2 linked regions of the Schizosaccharomyces pombe genome follow. The protein of the gene in region 1 interacts with the protein of each later gene in a biochemical or structural test. Each region holds a gene or a part of one and is shown on either strand. Other genes may lie near its edges.

Region 1 (5,597 bases):
TTTTGGATAGATACGTTGTAAAATTGGGTCATATTCTTAAATGTTGTCAGTTGATCAGTTGATTATAGTAGCTCAACAAGGACCGTGGGTTTCTTGAATAATTTGTGACAAAAGTTGTGCTAGTTCTTTAGACCAGAAATTGTTGGTGTTCATGAGCTAAAACTTCACCAACACCAAACTCTGGGTACAATCTTCACTGTACATTCGTGATTAAAGAATAATCGATTGTTGAGTGTTTAATATCAGTTGTTCAATTCAAAGGCATTCCCAAAGCAGGAGACAGTATTGTCTACATTAACAATGGCTTATCTTATTGATATACCATTTGAATACTTCTCTTCTTTCCTTGGAGTCCACCCGGATCAGCTCAAGTTACTGTTTTGTTTTCTTTCAGCATACCCGTTTGCCGGCATACTAAAAAGACTTCCTTCGGCTCCATGGATTAGAAACTTATTTTCAATAAGCATAGGTTTATTTTATCTCATTGGTGTTCATCATCTTTACGATGGCGTTTTAGTTTTGCTATTTGACGCTTTGTTCACATATTTCGTGGCCGCGTTTTATCGATCGTCACGAATGCCATGGATCATATTTATAGTAATCCTTGGCCATACATTTAGCAGCCATGTTATTCGGTACATTTACCCTTCAGAAAATACTGATATTACTGCTTCACAAATGGTACTATGTATGAAGCTTACAGCGTTTGCCTGGTCTGTTTACGACGGTCGTCTTCCTTCAAGTGAATTATCTTCTTATCAAAAAGACCGCGCGTTGAGAAAGATTCCTAATATCTTGTATTTCCTTGGATACGTATTTTTCTTTCCCTCATTACTTGTTGGTCCAGCTTTTGATTATGTTGATTACGAAAGGTTTATAACCCTTTCTATGTTTAAGCCTTTGGCTGATCCTTATGAAAAACAGATAACACCACACAGTTTGGAACCAGCCTTAGGTCGTTGCTGGCGAGGTCTGTTGTGGCTGATTTTATTTATTACCGGAAGCTCAATCTATCCTTTAAAGTTTCTACTTACACCTAAGTTTGCTTCCTCCCCTATTTTGCTAAAATATGGATACGTTTGCATAACTGCTTTTGTTGCAAGAATGAAATATTATGGCGCATGGGAACTTTCTGACGGTGCATGTATATTGTCAGGCATTGGTTATAATGGCCTGGATTCTTCTAAGCATCCTCGTTGGGATCGAGTGAAGAATATTGACCCTATTAAGTTCGAATTCGCAGATAATATCAAATGTGCTCTTGAGGCTTGGAACATGAATACCAATAAATGGCTTCGAAATTACGTTTATTTGAGAGTTGCAAAGAAGGGAAAGCGTCCAGGGTTCAAAAGTACGCTAAGCACATTCACTGTTAGTGCAATGTGGCATGGAGTTTCTGCTGGATATTATTTGACTTTTGTTTCCGCAGCCTTTATCCAAACAGTTGCAAAATACACGCGTCGCCATGTTCGCCCATTTTTCCTTAAACCAGATATGGAAACTCCTGGGCCTTTTAAGCGAGTCTATGATGTTATTGGTATGGTAGCAACAAACCTCTCTCTCTCCTATCTAATTATCTCTTTCCTTCTTTTGAATCTAAAAGAATCAATACACGTTTGGAAAGAGCTATATTTTATTGTGCATATATATATATTGATAGCTCTGGCTGTGTTCAATTCCCCAATAAGGTCGAAATTAGATAATAAGATACGATCCAGAGTCAACAGCTATAAACTAAAAAGTTACGAACAATCTATGAAATCCACTAGTGATACGGACATGTTAAATATGTCGGTGCCCAAAAGAGAAGATTTTGAAAATGATGAATGAAGGATTAATTTGCTATGAGGTAGCATCATATGCAATAAATTGAAGCATTTGAATATTTTGCAGCTTTGTTAACAGCAATTTCATCTTAATTGTTCATCATATACAATACCTTTCATGGCGGCAGTATATTCATTGTGTTTATATATATGTTTACATATTAAAGTAGTCTCTTAAATAAAATTCCTGAATGTTTTCTCTCAATTCAGTTTTTAAGTTTAACATCTAATTTCCTTTGATGATTTATTTTGGTTACAACATTATGAGAGTTTGAATTTATTTTGCTTTAGTATCTGGTAGTAGGTAACGTTGCTATATCTAGTACCTTAGTCCACTAAATTCAACACGAACGCGCTATAGAACTTGAGCGATTCTTATTAAAGAACTTTTTTGAGGGTATGAACTGAATGGAATTAGGCAAAAGCAAATTCTCTTGGAAGGACTTGCAATATTGTGATAAAGCAGGTACACAAAATTCACCGTTAAGGGTTGTAGCTCATATTGATCAGGATGCTTTTTACGCTCAAGTCGAAAGTGTTCGCCTAGGATTAGACCATTCAGTTCCCCTTGCTGTTCAACAATGGCAAGGGCTTATTGCTGTAAACTACGCAGCCCGTGCAGCGAATATTTCACGCCATGAAACAGTTACTGAAGCAAAAAAGAAATGTCCAGAGCTTTGTACCGCTCATGTAAAAACTTGGAAAGCTGGGGAGTCAGAGGCTAAGTACCATGAAAACCCAAATCCTAACTACTATAAAACCTGTTTAGATCCTTATCGGCACGAAAGCGTTAAGATTCTTAACATCATAAAGAAACATGCGCCTGTGGTTAAGAAGGCTAGTATTGACGAATGTTTTATTGAACTTACGAGTGATGTTAAACGGATTGTGTTGGAGGAATATCCTTACTTGAAAATTCCCTCTGAGGACTCAAATGTTGCTTTGCCGCAGGCTCCAGTGCTACTATGGCCTGCTGAGTTTGGAATGGTCATTGAAGAAGAAGTTGTAGATAGAACGAAAGAAGATTATGAAAGGGATTGGGATGATGTTTTTTTATTTTACGCTGCAAAAATCGTGAAAGAAATTCGCGATGATATATACTTGCAACTCAAATACACGTGCTCAGCAGGAGTTTCTTTTAACCCAATGCTTTCAAAGCTTGTCAGCTCGCGTAATAAACCAAACAAGCAAACTATTTTAACGAAAAATGCAATTCAAGATTATTTAGTGTCATTAAAGATTACTGATATAAGAATGCTGGGCGGAAAATTTGGAGAAGAAATAATTAATTTATTAGGAACAGATTCTATTAAGGATGTTTGGAATATGAGTATGGACTTTTTGATAGATAAGCTTGGTCAAACTAACGGTCCACTCGTTTGGAATTTGTGCCATGGAATTGATAACACTGAGATTACTACACAAGTTCAGATTAAATCAATGTTGTCGGCTAAAAATTTTTCTCAGCAAAAAGTGAAGTCTGAAGAAGATGCAATTAACTGGTTTCAAGTATTCGCATCTGATCTTCGATCACGATTCCTTGAACTTGAAGGAATGAGAAGGCCCAAGACCATTTGTTTGACTGTTGTATCAAGATTTCTGAGAAAGTCAAGGTCAAGTCAAATACCTATGAATGTTGATATTAGCACTCAGTTTATTGTTGAAGCAACATCCAAACTGTTGCGTCAACTGCAACAGGAATTCGATGTATATCCGATTTCAAACTTATCTATTAGCTTTCAAAACATCATAGAGGTTGATCGTAATTCTAGGGGAATTGAGGGTTTTTTAAAAAAGTCCAATGATGAAATCTACATGTCTACTTCTGTTTCACCTTCTATTGAGGGACGCGCTAAATTATTGAACGAAAATATGAGGGAAAATAATTCTTTTGAATTATCTTCGGAAAAAGATATAAAGTCACCTAAAAGGTTGAAAAGAGGTAAAGGTAAAGGGATTTTTGATATGCTACAACAGACCGCTGTTTCTAAACCAACGGAGAATTCAGCTGATGAAACTTACACGTGTGAAGAATGCGAACAGAAAATTACTTTATCCGAAAGAAATGAACATGAAGATTATCATATAGCTCTCTCCATTTCGAGAAAAGAACGCTATAATAACTTAGTACCGCCATCCCATGATAAACCTAAGCAAGTAAAGCCTAAAACATATGGAAGGAAAACCGGTAGCAAGCATTATGCACCTTTATCCGATGAAACAAACAACAAAAGAGCATTTTTGGACGCATTTTTAGGAAACGGTGGAAATCTGACACCAAATTGGAAAAAGCAAACGCCAAAAGCAATTTCCAACAGCTCAGACAACATGACCCAGTTACACTTAGATTTGGCTAATTCCACCGTAACTTGTTCAGAATGTTCTATGGAGTACAATTCAACGAGCGAAGAAGATATTTTGCTTCATTCTAGGTTTCATTCTCGGGTTCTAGGAGGTGTTACTGTGTCCTTTCAATGCTCTCCTATTTATCGCGTTAACTATGGTTTGAGTTCCGATTGCATATACAGCATAAATTCAGAAAGCTCATTAATTGATCAAAGAAAAGCAGAGGAAGCTTTATCTTTCGTAAATAACGAACTTTCAAGTGAGCCTATTGAAACAATTGGGGTAGATAAATATACCACATTTCTATTCATATCAGATAAGAAATGTGTCGGATTACTTCTGGCAGAGCGTATATCTTCTGCATACATAGTCGATGAACTTGAACTCAACAACAACAATAGCACCTCTTCCGCAGTATATATAAAAAACGAAAATCTACGAAAGGGGTTTGTATTGGGTATTTCCAGGATTTGGGTATCAGCTTCAAGACGCAAACAAGGGATAGCAAGTTTACTATTAGACAATGCTTTAAAAAAATTCATTTACGGTTACGTTATATCGCCTGCAGAAGTTGCTTTTAGTCAGCCTAGTGAAAGTGGTAAACAGTTCATTATTTCGTGGCATCGTTCTCGAAACAATGGTTCTTCGAAGTCACTTCGATATGCTGTTTATGAAAGTTGAAAATAGTCTGACAAAATTAAAGTTGTTCTAAATATCTATCTAAGCGTTATATAGAAGTTTTTTTTTTAAATTATTAATTAATCATTAATGAAAACCGTTTTGTTTAACGAAATGTTTGGCTTTGCCTAATGAATGATGCTTAAGGGCATCTATTACAACTGGGAACACTTCCTCTTTAACATCCTGGCCCCATAGAAAGTCAAGATGTTCATAATGAGCAATCTAACTTATATTAGCATATTGAGCAACAAACCTATAAAATAAAAGGCTTACCGAAACTTCCTTTGCATGGGGAGGAAGAGCAGTTCTCATTACTTCCATATTGATCAAAGTATCTTTACCTCCCCATAGTATCAGCATTGGGCATTTGATATTATTCGTAGGAAACAGAGGAACTTGGTAATGGCGTGAACCATATCCAGCTAGAAGAGCCATATCGTCGTCATAAAGCTGGAAAGTACAGTTTTTTATAATCTGAAGCCAGTGAACAACACTCTTTACACTTGAAAAAGAGTAAAGATGTGCATAACCGCAAAGTTTTTGATTAAGAGAAATGTTGGATAGGTCCCAGTTGAATAAAATTTTAAGGGATACATCGACAATTTTTACAAAAATTGGGGGATCTGTAGAGTAAGCAGATGAAGTTGAAATTTAAAAAAAAGAAACATACAACATATATTTTGCCAAAAAGTGACTGAAGGTAAAAGACAACGGCGCCCAAAAAGATGATACATAATTTTTGGA
Region 2 (5,708 bases), 2.1 Mb from region 1:
GGAAAATTTCCTAAGGTTTCAAACACCATTACTCAAGGTGATACAGATTTATGGTCACAAGATACTTTACAGCGTAAATTAGATAATTCTAGAGAAAAATTAGAGTACTCTGAATTTTTAAAAAGTGTCCAAAGTCAATTATCAGAATTTAAAGATCCTATCCACAAATGCATTATCCTTGGGCTTGGTAGAATACACACTTTAACAGCTTCTTTACAGTTGTCTCTCTTTTTTGAAATTATGAAAATATTTAATTTGCAACCAAGATTTTGTTCATTTTATGATCCAGCATTTCTCAAAGATGATGTCGAATTTCTCGAAAATAAAGGGTTTTGTGTTTTGCCAGACCCACCAACACCCAGCTGCTTAAAATACACTCTACTTTATATGCCACACTGCCCTACTTCACTATATGAAACTTGGTTAGCTGCCTATGTAAATGATGATCCCAGGCATTTTATCATGTGCGGCAACAATTTACAACTATATGTGGACAACAAGCCTAGTAAAGAAATTGTTTCTACGTACCCAAACGTCTACAAAATGTGTACCAAAAATTATTATACCCGACTTTTATTCCCTGAATTCCCTAATGTGTATGCATTCAATGATTTGTCTTTTCATTTTCATGATGCCCAGTCTTTTGTGGAGAAGAAGCAGCCGTCGAAGTTTGTTGATGCTTCAAGCGTTGCTGAGCACCCCAGTTAATAAAATCATGAAAAATGTTTGCATTATAATGACTCTTCGAGGGCTCTTGTATCCAAAGAAGGAAGCTTTTAAGGTAAACTTCAACACCTTCTTTCAGGTAAGGGGTATCAGCTAGTAATTTCAACAGAAGTTGCGAAATTGACGAGCCTGTAGAACCAAGTGATGCCTTTTTTCCGCATAATACATGTACTTTCTTCAGTGCTTCCAGTACATTTTTTGATGAAGGTTTCTCTTCTGTCCATTTTAACTTGCTAAGGCGATTACGAAATACCGCTTGCCCTTTTTCCTCCAAAACTTTGTGCTTCGTCTTTAAAATCATTTCCAAAAGTGGGATCAAAAACTCAAAACCAAGTCCGTTATTAGGTTGAGTCTTATAATAGTTATCAATAAGATCGATAACTTTAACTTTAAACTGAACAATTTGTTGTTTAGTTTCTTGGGCGTTCTTTTTCTTCTCCTTATTCGATGCTTTTTTGCGCTCTCGAAATACCTCAGCTAGCTTTTCATCCAGCGCAAGCATTTGCTCATCATTCATCAGCTCCTCCTCAGAACTTTCCTCGTCTTTGACCTTTGCATCGGCATCTTCTAATACCTTGTCAAGTTTACGCTCCAACTCCTCGTTGTCAGAGGCATCTTGATTAGAGATCATTTCCCAATCACTTTGTTCTTCAATTTCATCTGTGTCTATCTCCTCGAAATCATCCTCATCCATTTCTGTCTCGCCAAAAGCATCTTCCTCCACCTCTTCTCCAGCGAACATTCCTTCGCTGTCTTTTACACTTTCTTTAGCTTTCAAAACATCGCAAATTAAATGAATAGATTCACGGTTCATGTCTTCAGAAAATGAGGTAAATAACATATCAACAAGTTTACGAAGCAACAAGGAAGGTCGAGATAATAAAGACAACATAACCTCAGTAAGGATTTCCATAGCTGTTGGCTCATTAGAGGTGCTTTCTCGCTTCGATTTTTTATTAAACACCTTGGAATAGCAATTATCGATATCTTCCAAAACATCAATTGAATCAGTGTCGCCAGCATATACTTGAAGAAGGACCAATGAGTACAGTAGTTGAAAGGCGTTTAGTTGTTGCAAATGTTGTGCTTTTTTATCAATTTTCTTGGTCACTTTGTGAAGAACTGACAAAGATTTCTGTACAATTTCGATGACCGACTCATCCATGCTAATAAGAAGATTATTTTTGGGACTCTTTTCAAGCTCTAATAAATAATTCAGTGCGACATAAGGCCAATTTTTATCACCCAACTGATGATCAGTTTGGGACTGTTGGAATGCACTGGAACTAAGATAACTCAACGCAGACATCAATCGCAAGCGGAACATATTTTGAGTACCTTCGCTAAATTTAGGTATTACTTCTTCAGATTCTGGTACCTCAAAGTAGCCATAAGCAATGAATATTTCGAGTAATTCACGAACCCAAGGTTCTTGTTTAATCGATCGCTTACTCCGTAATATACTAAGCATAGTATCAGTCGCCCATTGACGTCTCCATTCTACAGCTTTCGTATCCGAGGCGATATCTTCAGGACAACGTTTAACATAACTGAGCAATAGTTGAAAGAGTTGGAGAATGCCCTGTTCATCAGCTAAGGGAAGGATATGCTCAACTAACTTGGTATTGGTAACACGATCAAAATTCAACGAACCACGCTCGCCGAGTAAGTGAATGGCAATAGGATAGACCAATGTAGGGTTCTGCTTACTGACTTTTTCGAGTTTAGAGGTAACACGCTTGGCTGCACGATACAAATAACGATCTTCGTCGCTCAAATGGTTGATCAAACAATGAAGAAAATTTTTAGAAAAAATATCACCAATATTATCACTAGATACATAATCCAAAGCTAACTCCATAATTTGAAAGCCCCAAAATTTTCGTTCAAGTGAAGAAGTAGAAGAGAAAATGCCTTCATCCACGACAACGGCCCAAAAATCATGAAAAGGTGCCAAACCCGAGTATGTCTTGCGTTGATATTCCTCGAAAATATATTTCCAAACCATTGGAATTTTTTGTTTCCAAGCGCTGTTTTGTCCACCAGTTTCTGAAGCATCAGCCTGACGCATAATCTTGGAAAGAGTAACTAAATTAGATTTATGCAAAGGATGAGCTGGTTCCCAATTGGCCATAGCCACCTCTTCTGATTTAACATTATCTGGAACGCGGGTAAGGCAAAGAAACAAACCTACACCCTCAGTACTTTTAGAGACTGCGGGAGTTTGCAAAAGTTTGTTAACTGCGAGAAATGCGTTAGAAGAGAAGGAAATTTCGGGAATTTGCTCTACCAATTTATATATCACGTAAAAGCAAACATCTTGAAGCCAATTTTTCTTCCCAGATAATTGCAAAAGTAAGTCTACCACACGCTGAAAATCTTCGATTGTAGATTCCTTGTGCGTCAATATGCCAGAATATACAATTGACTGTAATCCAAAAAGCAAACCAAAATAAAAATCTCTTTCGTCTTGGCCTTTTAGATTCCCAGAAGCAGTGTTATGCTTAACCAACAAATCTAAAACATGAGTAGCTCGAATATCTTTAGTGCGAGTTAACAGCTAGTTCTTGGTTAGTTTAAGTAAAAAAATGCAAAGACAAGATAAATAATAAGTTGGAAAAGTATATACCTCTGTTAAAGCAACGGCAAATCCAATTCTCGCACTTTCGCGACCACTAGAAAGACCTTTGGTCAAACGGTTTAACGAATATTTTAATTCTTCTTCGTTTGACAAGGAATCAATGAGTTGAGCAGCAGAGCTTAACCGAATAGCTTTATCATTCGATGTAAGCTTAGTGAACAACTCTAATTGTGTTTTTGTAGCCATGTTTGGTACTACTACTCACAATCGAGGTTGTAGGGGAGTCTAAGTCAAACTTCGGTAGTAAGAGAAAAAAAAACAGAAAACGCTACGTATGCAAATCAAAAGATGAAAAAGCTTTTCATTTTCTAAATAGAAGAATAAGTAACAATTGGTAAAGAAATTGATAAATCATGGTTTAGCAGTGATAGAAATTTCAAGTTTTCGAAAGGAAGCTACAGACTCTCATCAATGCGAGTGTAACAATTTGCACTTTACTTTTGTTTAAAATAAGTTTTATCTCTTTTAAACTAATCATACAGTCATCAACATGCATTTCATTATGTGAGAAATAAAATCAATCCATTGAAAAGACCAAATCCTCGAAAATTTTTTCTTAGTATAAATATCAAACAAGTTCGGCTTTTTCATACGAAGACTAGTGATAAGTAGATGGGAACGTTCTCAAAAAAAGTCCCAAGAGTATCTTAAAAGGTTACAAACATCTTCAATTTGTTTCCAAGTTTCTACGAATTATGGGAATATTTTATGATAAAAGTCTTTACAGAATTGATTTTGAAGGATGTGAAATAAATTTTGCTTTCAAGCACTAGTAATTTGGTACATATCATATCCCTAAAAGTTTGTTTCTCTAATGATTACGATATATGCATCATCTTTAACTGCATCGAGTATACATTATCTTTTTTTGCCTGCTGTAAACCTCTCAACTCATAAACTGAAGCACATAAACAGCCGATAAAATCGGCGCTTGTAGACAATACTAAGAGATTTCATTATACACTTATATCACATTAAAAAACGTGAGTCTGTGAACTTTGTAATTTGTAAGAAATGATAATAAAACATTCCGGTCTCAAGGTGCAACTTCATAATCCTTAGAAAAATTGTTTGTTCTTGGAACAATAAGTGCCACATTCTTGATTCCTAAGATTACCTTTCAAAAATTGTTTGGTTAAATCTTGCTCGCATTTAACTTACAAATCCTAGAATTGAATGTCTTTCATAACAAATTAGTGCAATGGGGATTTTTGGGAATAATTAAATTTAAAAGAACATATTTGAATATATCTGTAATACTTATTATACCCGAAAACTCGTAAAATATTTCAATTACAAAGCGACCGTTTTTTGTTAGAAGCTGCTCATGGTAGTATAGGCAAGTTGAATTACGCAAACGCCATATGAATCCAAATGTTATAATCTATCAAAAGTTGAGAATTTATCGCTAATTAAAAAACTAAAATGACTCTGAATGGAAATATAATGAAATATTGCTTGTTAGTTGCTCTCTGTATTTGCTATTTTACGAAAATTCTAACATTTGTTTTTAGAGAAAAGGGGGAAATTTTAATCAGTTTTTTACTGATTGCGTTGGAGAGCATGTTTCGAATATGTACAGTTATTTTACCTAGTCCACTTCGGAATTGGTTTTATGAGCAATCAAAAAAGTGAGTCAGCTATTACTTATACCATTGTCACTGATACTAACCTCGGGGTTTGCAGAGTATACTCGTACTTTTTGCCTGAATTGTTGGTAGATGATAACGCGAATAAATTAACTGATGCAAGAGATACCATCGATTTATGTGCACTTCATGGGTATGATCTGGAAGAACACTTTGTTCGTACAACTGATGGCTACTTGCTTGGCTTGCATCGGGTGTATAAAAAGAAAAAAGGAAAAATTGAAGAGTTAAATTATCTCCCACCTGTATTATTTATTCATGGGCTAATGATGAACTCTGAAAGTTGGGTCTGCAACTTGAAAAAGGAAGATGCCATTCCATTTGCTCTTGTGGAACAAGGATACGATGTTTGGCTTGGAAACTTACGAGGAAACAAATATAGTATAAAGAATATCAAATTCAGCTCTCAAAATCCAAAGTTTTGGGATTTCAGTCTTGATAGTATCGCTATTTTTGACATACCTTCCATTGTTAAATATATACTGTCCGTTAACAGTTTTGATTCTATAAGCCTTGTTGGATTTTCTCAGGGCGCTATATTAGCATTTGCAGCGCTGTCTATTGATACTGAACTTCGCAATTCCGTACGAGCATTTATTGCTCTAGCTCCTGCAATTGCTCCTAAAAAGTATAGTGGTAGAACCGTTAAATCTATTATTCACGCTAATAGCCAACTTCTTTACCTAATGTTC

The links.
Region 2: the proteins of eso1 (region 1) and pol5 form a complex in vitro, tested with the Schizosaccharomyces pombe proteins (one study listed by BioGRID).

What each region holds. Positions count from the first base shown.
Region 1 is NC_003423.3:4,276,229-4,281,825, reverse strand, and holds eso1 (mitotic cohesin N-acetyltransferase/DNA polymerase eta Eso1 fusion protein), read left to right. Parts: upstream 1-2,172; 5' UTR 2,173-2,234; coding exon 2,235-4,853; 3' UTR 4,854-4,937; downstream 4,938-5,597. Other genes in the region: ale1 (MBOAT family O-acyltransferase), read left to right, coding at 301-1,830; SPOM_SPBC16A3.12C (triglyceride lipase-cholesterol esterase), read right to left, coding at 4,938-5,075, 5,127-5,476, 5,524-5,597. UniProt on the Schizosaccharomyces pombe protein: Probable acetyltransferase required for the establishment of sister chromatid cohesion and couple the processes of cohesion and DNA replication to ensure that only sister chromatids become paired together.
Region 2 is NC_003423.3:2,225,436-2,231,143, forward strand, and holds pol5 (rRNA processing protein Pol5), read right to left. Parts: upstream 3,595-5,708; 5' UTR 3,554-3,594; coding exon 3,356-3,553; exon of another isoform or gene 3,287-3,355; coding exon 605-3,286; downstream 1-604. Other genes in the region: SRR1 family protein, DNA-repair associated protein, Srr1, conflicting annotations across species, read left to right, coding at 1-708; SPOM_SPBC14C8.15 (triglyceride lipase-cholesterol esterase), read left to right, coding at 4,793-4,827, 4,882-4,998, 5,054-5,708. UniProt on the Schizosaccharomyces pombe protein: Plays an important role in the regulation of rRNA transcription. Binds to rDNA promoter fragments.